Drosophila melanogaster: one gene and its partner. The protein of the gene in region 2 interacts with the protein of the main gene of each other region in a biochemical or structural test. Each region holds a gene or a part of one and is shown on either strand. Other genes may lie near its edges. The genes, in order: Pp1-87B and neb.

The links.
Region 1: the proteins of neb (region 2) and Pp1-87B form a complex in vitro, tested with the Drosophila melanogaster proteins (one study listed by BioGRID).

The regions. Positions count from the first base shown.
Region 1 is NT_033777.3:12,417,388-12,427,455, forward strand, and holds Pp1-87B (protein phosphatase 1 at 87B), read right to left. Parts: upstream 8,531-10,068; 5' UTR 8,302-8,530; coding exon 7,393-8,301; 3' UTR 7,224-7,392; intron 7,130-7,223; 3' UTR 6,234-7,129; downstream 1-6,233. Other genes in the region: pps (protein partner of snf), read left to right, coding at 1-5, 61-588, 654-2,594, 2,653-2,788, 2,843-3,039, 3,113-3,275, 3,339-3,520; Scgbeta (sarcoglycan beta), read right to left, coding at 3,898-4,956; CG17202 (uncharacterized protein), read left to right, coding at 5,472-5,483, 5,546-6,079; NANS (N-acetylneuraminic acid synthase), read left to right, coding at 9,225-9,560, 9,667-10,068. UniProt on the Drosophila melanogaster protein: Is essential for the regulation of mitotic chromosomal segregation as well as regulation of chromatin condensation during interphase.
Region 2 is NT_033779.5:20,071,488-20,081,874, reverse strand, and holds the start of neb (nebbish), read right to left. Parts: upstream 6,119-10,387; 5' UTR 6,019-6,118; coding exon 4,579-6,018; intron 2,606-4,578; exon of another isoform or gene 2,558-2,605; coding exon of another isoform or gene 2,403-2,557; intron 1,870-2,402; coding exon of another isoform or gene 1,815-1,869; exon of another isoform or gene 1,679-1,814; intron 270-1,678; exon of another isoform or gene 1-269. Other genes in the region: pr (purple), read left to right, coding at 6,850-6,917, 7,025-7,104, 7,539-7,684, 7,747-7,959; CG10730 (uncharacterized protein), read left to right, coding at 9,687-10,051, 10,167-10,387; bwa (brain washing), read right to left, coding at 8,421-8,497, 9,229-9,521.

The DNA of each region.
Region 1 (10,068 bases), on a different chromosome or scaffold from region 2:
AGAGGGTAAAGTCATACAATAGACATAAAGTTACCTTTTATTGATTCGTTATCTTTGTAGAGCCAACCACGAATAACAGACATGTTGGTCACCAGACCAACCACTCAACCTGAGCAGAGGCCGAGTGAAACCAAAGTACTAACTACGACAGCAGAAATTGTTCAGGTCGCGGCTCCTTCGGCTCCCAGAAGAACACTACCGGTGGTCTTAACTGTAGCCAGTTCCCCCATGCGTATTCCAATGGCAAAGCCGGCCAAAAAGTTCCCAACCGGTGCAATCTCTCACCAGCAGCAGCAGCAGCTGAACTTTATCAGACTGGGCCCATCACCTGGCAAACGAATTTCGGAGACGTTATGTGTGGTCTGCAAGCGACCGGCGAGCACCTCTTCCGTCTATTGTGGCGAAGAGTGCATCCGGAAGTATGCCCAAAGTGCAATTCAAGCACATGCTGCTACCAAAGGCCCATTGCCACAGAATGCCGGTGCTCAGTCTTTGCTGAACAACTCCTTCGATGCCAAAAAGAACAAGAAGAAGGACTTGTTTGAGGACGTGCTGAGGCAAGCGGACACTGTGTCAAAAGTGGAACGGGTATGCAATAAAGGTTAATTTAATTAGAACTATACAACAAATAATGTGCACACTTTGCTTTGCAGATTAATGTGTTTGAGCGTAAAAGTGGTCGGGTTATCACCGGGCACATGGCCCCTTCTGCACATCAGTTTCGGAAATGGCTTCAGGAGAATCCCTCCTTCGAGGTGCTGCCCTCAGGAACCGTTCAGTCAGCCGACGCAGAGAAGCGTTTGCTGAAAGGGGCACCGGAAGCCGCCACCTCAACTTCAGAACCCGCCGTGCTAGGAGTTGCAAAAAAGCCACCTGAAGGTCCTGCCAAATTGTCCCATCCCCAAAACACCACAGTTCAGGCAAGCCACCAACTTGGAATCTCTTCCGTGCGTCCTTTGGCCAAAAAGGATAAAGAGAAGACAACACCTACAGTACAGGCGCCAACCCCTAATCGTATCGCAGCGGGCAAACCCGAGCCGGTTCGAATCGGCATCCGGCGATCACTCAGGGAGCAACTACTAGCGCGAATCAAAGAAGCTCAGGCTGCCGAGGAGAACTCTGGCCAGCCAACGACTCAGTGGCCGACCGTACTTGAGGTGGATCAGTTTGTCAAGAACGTGGAGCTGGAAATGTTCAACTCGTTTGGCCGAGACGTGGGAGCCAAGTACAAGGCCAAGTATCGATCGCTTATGTTCAACATAAAGGATCGCAAGAACCGAACGCTTTTCGAAAAGATTTGTGCCAAGCAAGTGGAGCCCAGGCAGTTGGTGCGGATGACGCCGGAACAGCTGGCCAGCCAAGAGTTGGCCAAGTGGCGGGAGGAGGAAAACCGTCACCAGTTGGATATGATCAAGAAATCGGAGCTGGACTTGTTGGCATGTGCCCAAAACTATGTGGTGAAAACACACAAGGGAGAGGAGGTAATCGCCACCAAAGTGGATGTTACGCTGCCCGAAGAGAACGTTAGTGAAGCATCATCTATGGCGGACACAAAACAGACGTCGCTGGTCAGTGAGCCGTCTACCTCCACACTGGAACGTTCCACGTCCAGGGAAAAGGCGGGTTCATCGAAGGAAAAGCGACACAAGAGCCACAAGCATCATCATCGAAAGCGCAGTCGAAGTCGTTCCAATAGTCGGGGTCGAAGCGTCGATAAGCGCCATCGCAGGCAGCACAACGAAGGAGGAGAGCAGCCAGGCAGCGGGGAGCGTGAGCATAGATCGCGTGAGAAACAGAGCCGGGAAAGGGATGAGATCGTTCCATCACCCTTGCCCAAGAAGAGGGACGAAAACGACCAATCGCCGGTACCCAAAAAGACGGCGGAAAAGAAAACCGAGGCGAGTGCTTACAACTTGGTTGATCAAATTCTGGAATCGGAGAAAACAGTCGAGCAGGCGGCGAATCTAGGCAAACCAAAGCCGTCACCCAAGCCACTTCCAACGCTTCCGAGTTCTTTGAAGGCACCTGAGCCAATGGACAACTACTCCCGCTACTTGCACGGCCTGACGACGAGTTCACTGTGGTCCGGTACTCTCAAGATGATCGATTTGGCCGACTTCGAAATCGTCATGTACCCCGTGCAGGGTAACTGCCATCAATTGGGTAACCTGATGCCAAGTCAGATGGACGTAATCGGTCGCATAACCCGCGTTAATGTCTGGGAATATATCAAGAAGCTAAAGAAGAGTCCCACAAAGGAAGTGGTCATTGTGAACATATTCCCCGCCTCGCCCAGCGAAACGTATAAGTTTGATCTCTTCTTCGAATACCTGGACTCGCGTCAGCGTCTGGGCGTCCTGGGCGTGGACTCGGATCAGATACGCGACTTTTACATATTCCCCTTGGGTAGCGGCGATAAGTTGCCACCAGCGCTGCAGACCGCGGAGCCAGTTCCCTTCTACGAAGAAGCGCAAAGACCCAACACGCTGCTCGGCATCATTGTGCGGTGTCTCAGCAAGCGACCTGCAGACGCTGTGCCATCGACTCCGTCTGTGCCTACTCCGGTTCCCGCCCTCAGTAGCAAAGTGGCAAAGGTAAGGAAATAGCAAATTATTCCATATTGAAAGTATGTACTATTATTCCCCTTTGCAGAGATCTCGCAGCTCGATCTCGTACCCGGCGCAGAGCAGTCCCAAACGCAAGATCAGCACACACTCCACCAGCTCCAAGGACGATGAGTTCGATATCGATGCCATTATCAAGGCGCCCATTGCTAAGCTGCAGAAAAGTAAGTTTAACATCTATACGTAAGAGGATGATGTTAATGGTTTTGTACCTTCAGCTGCCCCGAAGGTGGTGCCACAGCCATCGGTGCCGAACGACGCCGATGAACCCTACTCGCCTGGTGGCTCCGACGACGAACTGGTGCCAAGTGCTCCGCAAAGGCCGAACGATCTGGAACGGCAGGTGAACGAAATCAACAAACAAATAGCTGCGCAACAAATGGAAATTGCCGGCCTGCTTAAAGTGGAGCCCACAGTAAGTGCTGACCTCAGGCGACGCAAAATGTTTCCAATCCATTGCATTCATATCCCTGCTCGTTTTTTCCCAGGGATCCGCGTCCTCATCCAATGTGCTAGCCGCCATATCAATACCCGCAAATCTTTCAAAGATCCTGGCCAGCATCAAGGACAAGACTAATCTGCCTTCCAGTGCTGATGATGGAGACGAGGAATACAATCCCGAGGACGACATCACCGCAACCAGTTCATTTGGTACGTCAGCTGTGCTTACTCAAATATCAATTGGCATTAGTATCAACGATTCCTTTCCTGTAGCATCGAAGAAGCCGAGGAGCAAAGGCCGTTTGGCGCATCTAAGTGAAGCTGAGCTTCTTAGCATGGTGCCGGACAATCTGGCAGGCGTGATTCCCAGATCGTCTAGGACCCGCCACCAGCTTGCTCAGTCGCCGCTCACACCAACACCACTACCACCACCGCCGCCGCCGCCGGGTGTTTAGGTTACCCCCATCCGGACGGACGCTGGCTAACCCGCGCGCCAATCCGTTTTTCATTCTTGATTTGAATTGCCGCCCGCCCGCCCGCCTCATTGTGTACATTGTCATTAAGCAAATTCAACGCCATCTCTGTATTATATCTGGCCAATCGGAATTTTTTAGTTTTCAAAGCTAAAGCCACAACCCCATCATCCCGCCACAACCCAACCCGCCCCGAGCTCCAAATGGATCATCCTTCGCATTGCAATGCAAATTTAGATTCGGTTTTTACATTACGCTCTAACAAATCGTGTACATTTCCTCCGAAAATAAAAAGTGCTACGTAACATTTGTTTTAGGGATACGATAATCGTAACGCTGCACTTTATTTCCAAACGCACTTAGTTGATCTCGCAGGGATCGTCCTTGCCGCTGAAGTGGGCGCATGTGATCTTGGGTCCGTTGTGTACCCTGGGTATGGCGATCCGGAAGAGCGTTCCATGCGGCATGCACACGCAAATCTTGTACTGCACACTGCCCGTGCGGAGACCCAGCTCGGAGCTGACGATGGGAATGCGGTCCATGTCCAGAAAGATACCCGTGCCTGCCTCCAGGATGGTGGCGCCCTGCGTGGAGTTGATGAGAATGTGGTGCTCGGCCTGCATGTCAACGCTGGCTCCGTCGAAGTAGACGCCCTCGGATCCCCTGATGGCCATGCGTCCGTCGCTCTCCAGCACCAGGGACTCGTCGATGGGACTGACGATGCCGCTGGCACTAACCACTTTGGCCTGCAGCGCCTCCACTCCGCCCGGAATGTTATACTGCGGACGATGGGTGGTGAAAATCGGCTGCTTGTCGACGGGGTCCTTGACCTCGAACAAGTTCGTGGCCTGCACGAGGATACCCTCCCTGTTCAGGACGATCCTATCGCGTTCGCTGGCTGCTCCATTGCCATTGCGGAAGACGCGCACATGGACGCCGCCCTCGCCGTCACCAGCATCACTGCTGATGGTCACCGGGACATCCGAGAAGCCGTGTATCTGGCCAATCGAGTTCGTCTGCACGCGCTCCAAGTCCGTGGTACCGTAGAACTTCACCAAATCCACCTCGGGTATCACCTCCATGCCCTGGACACCTTTGCCCAGGCGAAGCACACCCACAATGGTGAGCGTCAGCAGAAGATTGCCAACGGTCAGCACCAGCAGCAACACCACAATGGTCCAGAAGGCGAACGTGTTGCGTCCCTGGTGACCCGGATGCAGGCGGGAGCAGCTGTCGCTGTTGTACTTCTCATCGAAGTAATCGCCCGTATCCGTTTTCGAGTCGTCGCGACAAAAGTCCAAGTCCGGCACAACTCCTCCAATGGGCAGCGTCACAGAGAGCGCGTTCTCCGAGTTGGCGTCGTCGGAATATGACGGCGATGGTCCACGGATGAAGGTGTTCTCGAATGTGTGCATCATTGGATTGAATTGAATTCCTGGCGAGTTGAACTCAAAAAACCGTTTGCACAATTGCTGTATTCAGTGCAAGGAAATTGGGCATGTACATGTGAGAGATTCAATTGTTGGACATGCGCAGTGCGTTCTCAGCCGCAAGTTTCGAAAAATCCGATATATTCGAATTTTGAATACTTTCGAAATATGAAAAAGTGGTTTCCAAATTATCTTTACAACGAGAAAGTCAATTTTCAAAAGTTAATATAACATTTTCAACTGCTAGAACTCAGTTACCAATATATATTTTTTAATGGAGAGCAGAACAAAAAAAAAACAATCAATTAAATGTAAAACACTGGTTTTCATAATCCATTTAAACTTTCAAAAATTGAATTTTAAAAGTGTAACCATAAAAAGTCAATTGGAACCGAACCAGTTCCGTATGATTGCAGCACGCAGCCCTGGCTTCAAGGGGGCTTGACTTTGGCATTTTTCGAAGTTGCGCCCACAGCCACACCGCACATCTCCATTTTGCAAAGATGTCCTTTAAGGTGAGCTTTTGTCCAAAAACTGATTGCCATTGGCTAAACAAGAGTCTCCCGCAATGACACAGCCCATTGACCCGAAGCGCGACGAGATCCGGCGCTATCTAGAGCGCGGCAGCGTCCTGGACTCGCTGACCAAGCTCTTCATACGCGTGATCAAGGAGCGGCCCGAGAATCCCATGGACTACATCCGTAACCACATCGGCGTGGTGCGCCACCAGCACGACAAGTACGAGCGCCTGCAGCAGGATCTGCAGCTGGCCAACGAGGAGATCCAGCGTCTGCGCGCCATCATCAACGGCATCAATCCCGACGTGCTCCAGGGTCATCAGCCAGTGGCTTCAAGTGAAGTAGTGGTCGCAACGGAGGCGCCACAGACCGTGGCCGAGTCCACTGAGGCGGCGGAGCAGCAGCAGCAGCAGCAGCAGCAGGAGAACGGCGAGACTGAGCTGGAGAAACCTAACGAAAGTTCGGCGGACGTTGCGGAGATAACTGCCGCTGTGGAGGCCTGCCAGATTGAGGGGAACTCGGTGGTGACCACCGATGAAGCCGCACAGCCAAGCCCAACCGTCCAAGCTGAAGCCAGTGGCTCCAGTGAGTAGATCTCAGATGACAGCAGCACGTGCCAGCACACACCAAACGTAAAAACAAAAACATCCCATTTAGAACGCATTCATTTAGAAGAAATGTTAAGTATTTTCCGGAATTTACATGTAAATAAAGCGAAATAAAGCATGAGCGCATGCAGCGTATTATGGATTTTTCAAATGTGTTTATTGAAATCAGTTTCATAATTCATACACGTTTTATATCATTTGTTTATTAATACAAAGGATTATTGATAATACATATTAATAATAGTTAATTTTTAAAAAACACATCCTTAAAATGACGGGAAGCGGACGTTTGAATAGCTGATGAATGGTAAGGAGTTTTAGGGACAAACTAATATATTTCGCTGATTTTCTTGCAGATATTTCTCTGGCTGGCTGGCTGGCTGGTCCATTCGGTCGGACTGCATTGTGGACGAACAAAAAAAAAACTGATTCAAGGTCGAAACTTAGTGCTTATAATTCCTCTTTATACTTCTTGGCAAGCATTCGCCTCCACCTCCTCGGTTCAACGATTTCCCCTCTTCGATTTTTTGTTTCTTGTTTTGTTTTCACTTGCTCTATACTCTTAAGGCCAACGAGCACTACAGGGCCCCCACATCTGTATGCTTTGTGACCGACTGGCGTCCAGTCGCTCCTCTGCTGCTCCGTTTCCATCTAATCTGCATGGTTATGCGCTTGGTGCTCTGCTCGAACGGTCAGTTGATTAACCTAGTGTTTAAATTTTGGACAAAACCTATAAAAGCGCTGGTGTTCAAATGTGTGTACATGTGTGTGCGTGGGTGAATGGTTGGTCGGTCGGTAGATATACATATATATATATATATACGGGGGCTATTACAAATAAATATGTGGCTTTTAATCATGGTATTTGTCAATGTGTTTGTAATTGCGATTTAAATCTCAATGGGTGTGGGGTGGAAGGGGAAAACTGCAGTCATCTGCTGGAAGGGATGTCTCTGGGGATGTCCTTTGATCGTGGCGCTGCTATTCCATACCAAATTAATGGTGCAATTTCTTGTGGATTTCGACTCGCCCCGGCTGCCGATGATAAAAGTGACCAAAAACAGAGATAAGGTTGGGGTGAGAGTGTGATTCACTAGTTTGTTACTCTGCGTCAGCAGCCCATACTTACGTTTCATGCATCATTTGATGTGTTGTTTCAAAGGATTTTATTTCTGGTTGATTGTGTGGTTGGGTTTGTGGTTGTTTTTGTCGTGTTTATCTTTTGTATCTTGTTTGGATTTCTTATTGATCTGTTTTAGATAGAAAAAGACTGCTCGTGGTGCTGCAGTTGTGTGATATTACTTTTTACGCTTGTCGGCTGGCTTGAGGATTTGGAACGAGCACATCAGCGTATCGTCCACGGACATCATGGCGCCGGCATTGTCGAACTCGCCGCAGTAGTTGGGCGCCGAGAACAGGGTGACCAGCATGCGTTTGGCAAAGAACTCGTACCCATCCTCGACGACTTGATGGGCTCGGCAGATGAGATCGAACTCGTGCTTCTGCAAAAACTTGGCCACCACCTCGGCACCGAAGGTGAAGCTAACGCCGCGGTCGTTTTCGCCCCAGCCCATGGTATCCTTATCGGGATCGGACCACAGGAGATCGCACAGCAGTCCCTGGTCGGGCACATCGGTTGGCCGCATAATGCGACGGATCTGCTCCATGGAGGTCAAATCGGGACTGAGACCACCGTGGCAGCAGAAGATCTTCTCGTCGACAATGGCCGCCACTGGCAGGCAGTTGAAGCAGTCCGTGAATGTCTTCCACAACTTGATGCTGTAGCGACGCTTGCATTCGTCGTAGAATCCGTATATGCGATTAATGCTGGCGCATTCGTGGTTGCCGCGCAGCAGGAAGAAATTCTCCGAGTATTTGATCTTGTAGGCGAGCAGCAGGCAGATCGTCTCCAGCGATTGCTTGCCGCGATCGACGTAGTCGCCGAGGAACAGGTAATTCGATTCCGGCGGAAAGCCGCCGTACTCGAACAGACGCAACAGATCGTAGTACTGTCCATGGATGTCGCCGCAGATCTTCAACGGTGCCTCTAGCTCGAGCAGAATGGGCTGCGACAGGAAGATCTCGCGCGACTTCAAGCAAAGTCCCCGGATCTCGCCCTCCGAGAGCTGTACGTTTTTACCTGGCCGTGCCCCACGCACCTCGAGAAGTCGCGATATTATGCTGTCGATATTCATCACGTCGCCCATGTTTGCGTGCGAAAGTGTGGATCTGGTGCACTAGTGCTGCTGTTGGGTGTCGAGGTTACCGCGAACGATCGTTGGTAGCGCCGAAATAGCCTCGAAATCTTTAATTTCCGAAATCTATTTCTGCTAAATACTTTTCACAGCTAACAAGTATGAAAATTTCTTCGTATGCTGTTGCGTGAGTGCGGGCGGGATGGCGAGTGTGCTTCTAGCTGATGTTGCCACACTGCCGGAAGTCGCGGATATGGCCAGATAATAGACGCCATCTTATCTAATCGATAACATGCAAATATAGTGCATAATCGATAACGAAGTTGCTGTAATATTACTCTTATTACATTAAGGACATTTCCAATCCATTGCAAGAGTTCCGCAATAGCTCTACTTTTATATTTTCATTCGAAACGGGTCTTCTCGACCCTATAGTGGCTCGAAACTGCTGTTAGTAATCGATTAAACGCATGGCGTCCAGTTACTCTATTTCAGCGGTGTGGCAGCCTGATCAGGGGGACACTAGCCATCCCGCTTGCACTCAGGCACGCCTGGCATGACTTACTGTGGAAAAGAGATGGGAGACTGATGCATTTGGCGAGGCTATTCGATATACCGGTAACAAGGGGATATTTAAATACATTGGAAATTCAAATAAGCCAATAAGAATATTCGTTTACAGAACATAGGTTAATTCATTTTCCTTATTGGAATAACTTCCACATGAGTTATGATTTAAAATGCCAAATTTCCCTTAAATTCTCACAAAACTAAATAATATATTGATAGATATATTAACAATCACACTATGTAAAAATTTTGTATGAAATGTGCTCATGTCTTGTTATCGATAATTCGATACTCTATGCATTTCCTGCCTACGCCCGCTAATCATTTAATTAACTGTTAAATAGGCGGGTTTCAATTTAATCAAAATGCTGTTAAACGATATCATAAGCGGAAAATTAGTTGATTCCGTCTATATTATAGCGGAAATTGGCCAAAATCACCAAGGTTGTGTGGAAACAGCGAAGAAAATGATATGGGAGGCCAAAAAAGCCGGTTGCCACTGCGTCAAGTTTCAAAAATCGGATTTGCCAGCAAAGTTTACGAGATCCGCTCTAGATCGCGAATATATCAGTGATCACGCCTGGGGAAAAACGTACGGGGAGCACAAGGAGTACCTGGAGTTCTCCAAAGATCAGTATCTCCAGCTGCAGGCCCACTGCAAGGAGTTAAATGTGGACTTTACGGCTTCCGCCATGGATGAGGTTGATATTAATTAATTGTTAACCAATTACTACTACTAACAATTCCTTTTTTCCCTTGTTTCTTGCTTAAATAGTTATTAATGTGTGTATATGCTATTTTAAACAGAGATCGTTGGAGTTCCTTTCTGCTCTAAATGTTCCCTTCATCAAAATTGGTTCCGGAGACGCAAACAACTTTCCGCTTCTCAAAAAGGCCGCCAATTTGAACTTGCCCCTGGTGATCTCCACCGGAATGCAGACTATGCAAACTGTGGAGAGGATTGTGCAAACTATGCGGGAGTCAGGAAAAGAGGACTACGCTCTAATGCACTGCGTTTCATCGTACCCAACTGACCCAAAAGATTGCAGCTTGCAGTTGATATCCGTCTTAAGGACACGCTTTCCCAATGTGGCAATTGGGTACTCGGGTCATGAGCTGGGAGTGATCATTAGCCAGGCCGCCGTCTTGCTGGGAGCACGCATAGTGGAGCGCCACTTTACGCTGGACAAGAGTCAGAAGGGCTCCGAT
Region 2 (10,387 bases):
TGTCGTTACAGAACAGAAATTGTTATTAATTTTTGGTGTTCAGACTCAGCTGTGCAAAAAGACGGACGGAAATATTATAAAAACGATTTAACAATTGCATTAGTCATTTAAGTAATTGATCAAAATGTAATGATTTGTGTAAAATTTGCTTGCAGGTTCCAAGAAAATTTTCAATTTATACAATGTTATATATCATATATATTATATATTAATGGTTAGTTTAAATTATATGTAAACCGAATAAAACGACAAATGATTGAAAAATTTAAGTTAAAATGCGTACTTGTATCTTGAGGGTTACTTGAGGAAATTACGATTAAAAGAAAGGAGATATCATTCATAGTTGCTACGATTTCTAAAAGTTAGACACCTGTTCCAATTACATACGTTGAGGTGGGTCAGTTTGGACTTAAATTTTCCAAATAAAAGTCTTAATTTCTTATGCAAATCTTTACGGAAATCTTTCCGTCTCGCACCAGTTTACTAATTGAAGTTAATCTGTCTTTTGTCTGTCTGAACTCAAAATGTTCCGCCGCTTGAAAACGTTAAATATGATAAGTAAGTACTTGATGGCTAAGGTCAGGTTTTAGGCACTAAACTGGGAACTAAGCGAAAGCACCTCGAGCCCCAATAAACCGACCTGGAACTTGACCATGCACTATCCCACCTTGCAAGCGAATGTCCAGGGATGCCAGCTCCCAAGTGATCCAAATGAAACCCCAGTCAACTAAGCCGAATTGAATTAGAGCAACGAACGTTTGGCACGGGTAGATGAGATCATCCGTGCCTTAATCATGAAAGGCGAATCAAAAAAATTCAACTGATCAAACTGAGAACTGAGCGCATCCCCCCACACGAAAACCATTCATTCCATTTGCATATTTTTTCATGAGTGTGCAAAAGGGTATATGTGCAATGGGGCGACGGGGAAAGCGATGTTCGAGAGAAACAACTCGCGGGGAGGAAGCCATATACATATTCAGTTGTTTGTGCATCGAATTCGACTCATTTTATATTCCAATGCTAACCACTTGGTTGGGGCTAAATATATTATTAAACAGTGTGGCTTAAATTACAATTGTTGTTATGCGGGAAACTGGAACGGAGAGCACACGTTCGAAGCATTTTGTTATGCCAACGTGGGTCAGAGATACAAACTTTTGAATTTATAACTACTATACTATACTATACTATTTATAACTACTACTATTTACATTATTGAATGGCTCAGTTAGTCGAAATCTTGTGAATAATTAATCTGGTTACTACTCGTATGTCAAATTTTTTCAGTTCACATAATTAGCATTCATTTGTGAACTGAAAACGTGGCTTATTTGAAAATTCATAACGGCGACAGACAACTCGCCTGTTGCTAATTACGAAAATAATTAACTGACGTATCCTCAGTGGCACGCTTTTCGTATTAGACACGTATTAGAAACAGCAGATCAATCGAATTTGAAATCGTGTGAACCTACGTCATTTGCATTCAATTCGATGTTTCTGGATTTCATTCAAAATCCCACATTCCCTGGCTATCTAAACGGTGTTTGTGGCTTTCCAAATCCAACTCGGAAAATGCTGATTGTGAACTCAGTGCGGTTTCTAGGGCTTTGCACACGAGCAAGTTAATTTGGAATTTATTTAGAAAGCTGGCTTGGGACTCCGCATTTCCAGTTCCAAAGTTCCCCCAGTCATGTGAAGGTCGCAACGAGTTCTCAAAACTAATAAAAATTGAGAAAAAACTATAGTTTAATGAATAAAAAAGGACTTATTTCTTGGAGAACAGAATATATCCCTTTGCATTTCAAAAAATGCTGAACCGCTTGTTACAAAAACTGAAAAGTTCCAGAGGAGTCAAGTCGCAAGGTGAACTTAATAGCTAGGCCATGGTATTTAAAGTGAAATACTTACATCAAAATATGTCAACTATTCTAATTACCTATCAAAAATTGAATTATTCTTTTACAAAACCTAGCCGTAGTGCAAAACCATTTTCATATAAGTGGACTGTTATTAAGCCAGTTAAATAACAGTATTAACAGTATTCTTTTTTTGTTTCGAATAATGAGCTTTTTGGATAATGAACTTAAATATGACTTTAAATTGACGAGTCTGTGCTAATAAACAAAACGGACTGCAAATGTCAAATCACAACTAATGTTAAAAATTAAAGTTATAAAACACCAACCAATTTTGATTATAAAGCATCTCCCATTACTTACATTGTACCCAAATCCTGGTTAACTTTAGATTTTACTTGGCCTAAACATATTTGCTAATTGTAACATACTCTGCCATCAATTACCTTTATTGGCTTGTATACACTTCGTAAACGTTTAGTTACCATCCTAACTATCTGTATATAAATTATTCATTTTGTGTACAAATTGTTATTGCAGCTCTTAAGGATGGAAAAAAGCTGAGCAAGGGCAATTGCAAATGCGAGCCTTCAGCGTGTAAATGTGGAAAACGTCAACAACGACAGCAACAATTGAAATTGTTGGTGTCGCAACTTAGGAGACGCGATAACGTATCAAGTGTTATAATGTTTTAGTGCCGAAGTACCGCACAAAAATACCAAATAAAGCATTATCTGCAAAGTATTTTTAAATCTATGGGGTGGCAAGTGAAGATGTAGATGGAACTTTTGTGTCGTATGCAAAGATAGGAAAAGTACTTCACGGATAGATAGGAACCATGGAAGCCCAAAAATATCAGAGGCAAAAAACAAGGTCGGCTGATATATAAAAAAAAAACACAACAAAACCCCCCTCCTTTTAAAGGGGTGAAAACAACTAGTAACAATCAACATACAAACCCTAAATCTAAACCATCTAAATCTTTCAATGATTTTAAAGATGGATTGGGCAACCACAATCTGGTGCGTTTCGTCACTACGCTGGCTGCGAGAGTCCCCTACGGACCTACGACGCCATTCCAAGAAATATTTGTCTTCACCTTTTATGGCAAAGGCCGCGTACGGAAATAAATCATGTGAGCCATTTTATGGGCCGTACTACCGTAACGAAAAGCAAAGTGGACACTGGACACTAAATAACACTCAGTGGAACGGGTTTCGGGAAAAAAGACAAGTGTTTGGACTTTCGATCAAGAGCCTCTCACTTGTGGGCGCCATGTAATTACTCATTGAATGCAGTCGAATGATTATAAATTACGTCGCAAATGTCGAGTGCGCCTTTTTTTAGAAGCCAGATACTTGTATTATATAAAACCCTCACTTTCGGATTAACTAGCCTGGTAATATTCCAACAATCAAGTTATTACGAACGTGTGGCGTTCGCTTAAGAGCAGTTGTTAACTTAAAATGCACACATAAGTATGTTACATTGATTGCTAAAGAAAACGCAGTCGTTACTCAATTCAAACAATCGTGAAACAAGTAGCTAATATGTTAACTAATGCACAACATTCAAGTCTCATGACAAGTTTATAACAATTTTCCTGCTAATGCTATGTAAGCATTTGCTGAGGTTTTATAACAAAATAATTATATTACCCGGGTGAAGACACTGCTATCTTTTTATTCGCGTTCTTAAAATAAATTTCTAGAAAGTTTACACGTGCGCCTTTGTATCAGGTCATAAATTTTATGGTCACATAGGAAAAGCAACAACAATAGATTAAATAGATATGATAAGAGGCCAAAATTTTAATCACTCAATTGATTGAGGTGCGGGAGGTCTTTGATTTGGTAGACCTTAATAAAAGGCTTTCCTATCGAAAATGATAAGGAAATAATAATAATAAAAAATACACTAAGTCTGCTGGCAATCTTAGCAAACAAAATAAACAAACGAATGATAACAAGGTTCGAGTTTAGAACTCGAGATCTCTCATATTTAGTCCTATAAAGCGCAGATAAACTCAATCTAATCTCTGGCTGATGTTGTCGTCTTCTTTTCCTTGTTTTTTTCGGACAATTTGACGCTTTATTTTAATTAAAGTAATTAGCACCCCAGTTAATTGATAGAGCCAACATAAATCTGTCTAGCAGCTGCTCCTCGCAGTGCAGACATCATTAAAACAGAATTCGCGTGTCGCGCGAGTCGAGATGATATCTCTGTAGACAGTGGGCTTCATAGCTCATCACGAGATCTGTTGAAAAGACGAATATCTGCCAGCCAGTTAAGTAAACATTTGACCGTACGAACATTTTGTGGGTACTTTCCGCAGGGGTCAACGTGTCATTTGCATGTTGCAGTGCAGTTCTACGTACTGATTGCTTTCCGGGTAATTACTGATTGCAAGGGGACCCCATTCCGTGGGCCACTGCCTAATCGAAGCGAAAGTGTTGATAAGCAATCCTATCGGTGGTGGCAAAAGTGCGGAAAGCATTGCGAATATACATATGCATTTATATTGAAGACATGAGGTTATAAGGTTTTACTGAGCTGAACTTATTCGAAACACATACTTAGCAATCACTTCTGGGTACAATTATTGATTTCAAAAACCAAGGGGATAAGAAAGAGTTATCATTAGCCGAAAGTAGACCAACCTACTGACCCGGTTGATAAGTACAAACGCAGCTAAGAACTATTTCGTAACACTTACCCGCAACAGCCAGGTGAGCACGCTCTCGCGATAGGGAACGAAGGTGCTGGGCGTCCCAGAGCCCAGGGGTCCATTGGCGATCGCCTTGCGGGAATCGGCGAGAGCAGCAATTACTTTCCCCAGCGTCAGCAGGCTCTTGTTGATGCTGACGCCCTCGCGGATCCGCTCGCCGTTCGATCCGGAGACGCTAATGCGTTCGCTGCCCGCCAGGTCCACCAGGCTAATCTTGCTGCGCCGCGTCTGCCGCAGGGAGGAGGCCGTGCTCGAGTCCGTATCCGAGGACAGGCCATCGTCACTGCTCAGATCGGTGAGGTTTAGGACAATGTTGAAGATGGAGTGTGAGCGCGAGCTCTTGTCGTTCATGGCCGTGGAGGCAGTGGCCCGCTGGGAGTTGCCCACGGCAAGCCAGTTGCGGAGTGCCGAGTACGAGTCCACCGAGTGGGCACTCAAGTCCACTACGTAGGGCCCGAAGATGGGATGCTCCCTGACCTTTAGAGCCGGACGCTGCTGCTGTTGTTGCTGCTGGATGGGCGTGGATTCCCCGGTGGCAGCTGCCGCATGCTGGACACTCAGCAGATCGTGTATCTTCTCGTTGTAGATCTCAAAGTAGCTGACCTCCACCTCCACCTGCAGCTGCTGCTGACTTTTCACAGCCTCTATGCGGCGGAATAGCTCGTGGCAGAAGCGTGGAATGATGCCCGCCTCATCGTGCGGCGGTCCGCCATCCAGAGCGGCGTCATCCAATGCTTCAATGCCCATCATGCTGTACGATTTGCCCGAGCCCGTCTGGCCGTAGGCAAACAAGCAGGCATTGTAGCCCTCGAAGGCAGTGTCGATCAAGGGACGCGCTGTGCCCTCAAAGACTTTGGCCTGGCAGGCGAAGTTCTTTCGTTCGGGATCGCACGAGTAGTAGACCTGGTCGTAGCTGAAGAAGTGCGTCACGCCGGCGGAGGCATCAGCACTGCTGCCCGCTTGGACAGTCAGCTCGTTGCTGTTTCCGTGCACCTGGACCACATTGGTGACCTGACCACGTGTGCATTCCAGGGCATTCAGTGGCCGCACTCGCACCGCCACAATCATGTTGCTCTCCTCGGACACGCTGAGGCAGGACTCCATCAGAGAGTCCCGCTCCTTTGTCCTGCTGCAGCTGGATTTCCCGGTGCCGGGCGTCTTTGCTCTTCCAGGAGTAGAGTTCGCATTCCTGTACAGCGACGAGGGTGTGTAGCAGGCATTCAGGGCCGTGGGCTTGGGCTTCGGCTGTGGCGTGCTCCCGCTGAATGCAGTGTTCAGCAGCTGTTCGGGACGATCCCGGTGCTCCCGATCCTCCGCCCGCGTCATCAGCACCTTCTTGCGCATCTCGGATGCCGGCGTGGATTTGTGGACTCCTCGCGTCTGGAACTGCTGGATGCGCTGCCGCACCGGAGTGCTCTTGTTGCTCATGTCTAGATTATTATTTAGGTATCTCTGCTCGTTTTTTAAATAACGCCGAAGAGTTTCGAATTATTGCGCGGCGTCGTTTGTTATTTTTTTTCTAGTGAAGGGCGGCGATCGATAGCAAAGCAGGGTTGATTACAGTGAGCGGCGTGAGGTCCGGCAACGCCACCACGAGCCAGGGATGAACAGCACTTACATACTCTGTTAGCTAACTCTGTTAATCAGCTCATTTAAATTATGAGATAATTGACAAAGAACTAACATGAAATAAATAAATATATAGCGAAATTGTAATAGTGTAAGGATTTCTACCCATACAATAGTCTATTTGTGCAGTTGTAAATCACTGAGAACAGTTGTGGCGGCAAACTGCTCAGCTCTGGCCGATAACCGATACGCGCTGCCTTGTTATCGGGAGCAGCTGTTGACGAGCAACGTAGACAAAAGTAAATATTATTGAAAATCCATAGCAATTAAAGGTGAGTTCCTTGCTGAATTGAGTTTGTTACCATGGCTATAGCATACCACACCCTGTCTTTGCAGCACGCATAGGCACTTGCAACAGAAAACGAGGGAACATCAATCGCTAATCAGCTGCAATTAGCCGCACTCGAAAAGTTCAGAGAAACTAGTTCCGAGCGTGTTGATATCGCAGTCGCCGCATTTGTGGCTTATATTTCCTTGTTCCCTCGATCCAAGTACCATATAAATAAGCGCGGCTCAAAAGCAGGTTTTGCATTCATTGTAAAACATTGCCAAAGCGCGCAGCTGATCAGCCGCATATATAAATCCACATCCAGATACAGATCCAGATATATAGTATAAATCGGACTTGAAATGTCGCAGCAACCTGTTGCCTTTTTAACCCGTCGCGAAACTTTCAGCGCCTGCCATCGTCTCCATAGGTAATTAGATTGAATCAAATTGAATCATTCAATTGCCTGATTCAATCACGGCTGGCAAACCAATTCAGTTCGATTTAAATTGATTGCTGCATCTATTTTCTCTTCAGTCCCCAATTGAGCGACGCCGAGAATCTGGAAGTCTTCGGCAAGTGCAACAATTTCCACGGCCACGGACACAACTATACAGGTAAAAAAAAAAATACCCCTTAAATACACTTAGTCGCATGATTACCTGCAAAGTGCCACACTTATTATCACATAACCCCGGCTCAATCAGGCTTAACCCCCTACTAAACTGGTAATTTGAGCCCAAAGTGGTGCCTAACCATAGCAAAACCTTGGCCGACAAGCTCGCTTATCAAAACCATATTCAAGTTCAACGCTCAAAGGCAATCAATATGTTGACTGGCGACCGAGAATTGATAATGAATAATGGTTCTGAACGAGCATAAAGTGTCGCAAGTGCTCAACTGATTAGAAATTTGGATTATATTTAGATTGTCAATAGCTAAACCTTAAGAACTCAAGCTTGACTCGATGCCGATTATACCAAATTATACCAAAAAATGTGTGAATAGACTACGAAAGATGTTCTTTTATAATCCTTTGTGATCTTTTCAGTTGAGATAACCGTCCGTGGTCCCATCGATCGGCGAACCGGAATGGTGCTAAACATCACCGAGCTGAAAGAGGCTATAGAAACTGTGATTATGAAGCGCCTGGACCACAAGAATCTCGATAAGGATGTCGAATACTTTGCCAATACAGTAAATAACCAGCAAGCACAACACAACTTACCGTACTTATCCTTTATATCTATCCCCCCCAGCCAAGCACCACAGAAAACTTGGCCGTTTACATCTGGGACAACATCCGTCTGCAGCTGAAGAAGCCGGAGCTGCTGTACGAGGTGAAGATCCATGAGACCCCAAAGAACATTATCAGCTACCGCGGCCCGTATCCGCTCAATGGCATCTACAACCCCATCAACAAACGCATCGCTCACGATTCGTGCACCAACATCTCGTCGGATTCGGATTGAACATTCGAAGATTGTGACATCGCCTAACGAATTTTTTGATTGGACCAATGATCAGCGAAGACTCAGCCAACCTCTTAAGCACGCGCGTAGAAAAGGACACTTACCATGTAAGGGAATGAAAAGTTATACGAATTACACAGTATGTAGGAGTAAAATATGTTAATGCAACATAATATTGAATAAAACAAAGGCAACTGAAATACTATTCTTTATTGCGATTAAACAAGAGAGCTTGCATTCCTAACACAGTATATTTGTCGACATTCGTTTAGCCTAAGTAAATCATACATACTTCCTAAACTATCGCTCCATATGGCATCTATACATAATTTGGTTTCCGCGATGAGCAGGCGAGCTTTGTAGTTAATAAATAATTTAGTTGTTCCACCTTCTGCAACTCTAACTTATATCACGCTGTGTATGTCTCTGTTTGGAGAAGGCTCTCCACCCGATTTCTTGCCTTAGTTCTTTCGGTGCTTGTAGTCATAGTCATAGTCCTGCATGTACAGACTGCAGTAGACGAGCCAATCTTTCGAATCTGTGGAATCAGCAAGGTAGCGGGTTGAATGATTTGGATTGCATAATACTTTGAGCAACGATCTCTACTTTGTTTAGTGTTTTAGTTGTGGTTACTGCTACATGCTAGTAGATTTCCAATCCAGAATAAGTGTAGGTGTTAGTTGGTTAGTTTGCGTAAATTAGACAATTAACAAATTCAGGTACTGACAACCTAATACGATTTTTTGTCTCTTTGGGAAAGCGTAGGAACCATTTGTTCTGGAAGTCATGGGATGAATTAGTTCATAACATATCACAGTCTGATGGTAACTCATACTCATAGAACGGGTTAGAAGACTTTGATTAAACTCATTTTAGGGGATAGACGGAACAATAAACATCATTTAGATATGTCTTTCTACAATAGTTCCACGGAGCAATCGCCCATTCATTTATGGACTAAGCAGGGCGCTACTATTATTGTTTTAGGCCCAAGTGTTCAGGTGCACCGAATCTTAAGGCGTTAACAGACTTATCTCTTTTGGGTACAACCGCGAATCCGATTCGTTTGCTTAATATAAATACATCTATGGCTAATAAACTGTTTCAACTATATAAAAAGTGTGCGCTACAATTACGTTGCCGCAATTTTACAATAATTGTGTATGGTTTTAAAGCATGTACGATATTATCGCTTGGTCTTTGGTCACTTCTCTGCCAGCTCTCCATTCCGGCGCAATCGTCCTTAGATGGTGTTGCGCAGAGCCTTACCTGGATTCCGGATCGAAATGAAGGGTATCCCGAACTCGAACTCGTTCTTTGGCCAGTACTTCAGCAGCGGCTGTCGCTGGGGCAGCTCCGATTCCACGTAGAAGTAGGCGAAAAGCACCAGCACCGTGTAGGCGGCTATAAAAATGAATATGTGCCAGAAGCCGTGCAGGTATGGAAAATTGATCGAGGACCAGGCCTCGCAGAAGATCCGGTCATTGATCCAGCAGAACACCGCAACAGCCCAGACGGTCGTCGATCGGATGCCCAGGCGGTAGACCCTCTGGTCACTAACTCTGTATGAACAAAGATATATATGGGTATTAATAAGTTGTTATATTTCGAAATAATTCGAAAAGAAACGCTCATGCTTTTCGTGTTAAATTAGCCAAGCGTTGTGAATGCAATTATTAAACGAGACTTTCGGTCCGCCAATGAAAATGCTGCAGTCAAAGGTGATCATGACGCTGTCGCGTAAGGACTTTCAAGCCCTTTTAATCGTAATATGCTTTGGTTTTTGGATCGAGAACCTTGTTCAGGGCGCAGATGATTACTATGTATATAGTCCGGTGTGCCAGATGCCCGCCGTGAATCCCTTCACGTGGGACACAATGAGTAATTTCCACAGAAAGACGCTAAGGCATTGCCACAACGACAGCGACATGGTAACGAGTGAATTCGACTTCGAGACACATCAGTACCGACTGCATGTGCACGAGCACCTGGCCAAGCCCATTATGAACAGGAAGGGCAATGCCACCCTGGAGTGCGAGTACCAGGAGATTTCACGGGATAACTCCGACCAGAAGCCCGACAATGCCTATAAGTAAGTATGAGCATACCATGCAGATATGAATGTATAAATATTATTCCGATAATGGTTGAAGGAGATTAGAGAAGCTTTCTGACTTTGTTAATAAGCCCAATTGGATTTCTTTCAGTCAGCTAAGAAGGCGGCCCATAGAGCAGCACCAGTTCGTTCCGAACAACACCGACTACATGATCACCAGTTGCTACGTGAGGGATGTGACCAAGCACCGGGAGCTGCTGCAACAGGATGCCATTTCCTTCATCGAGGACCGCCTCCCAAAGGAGAAGGTCAAGGATTTCGTGAAGGACGAAAGTGAGGTGCACAAGCCGAGCGTTCTGATCATGGGACTGG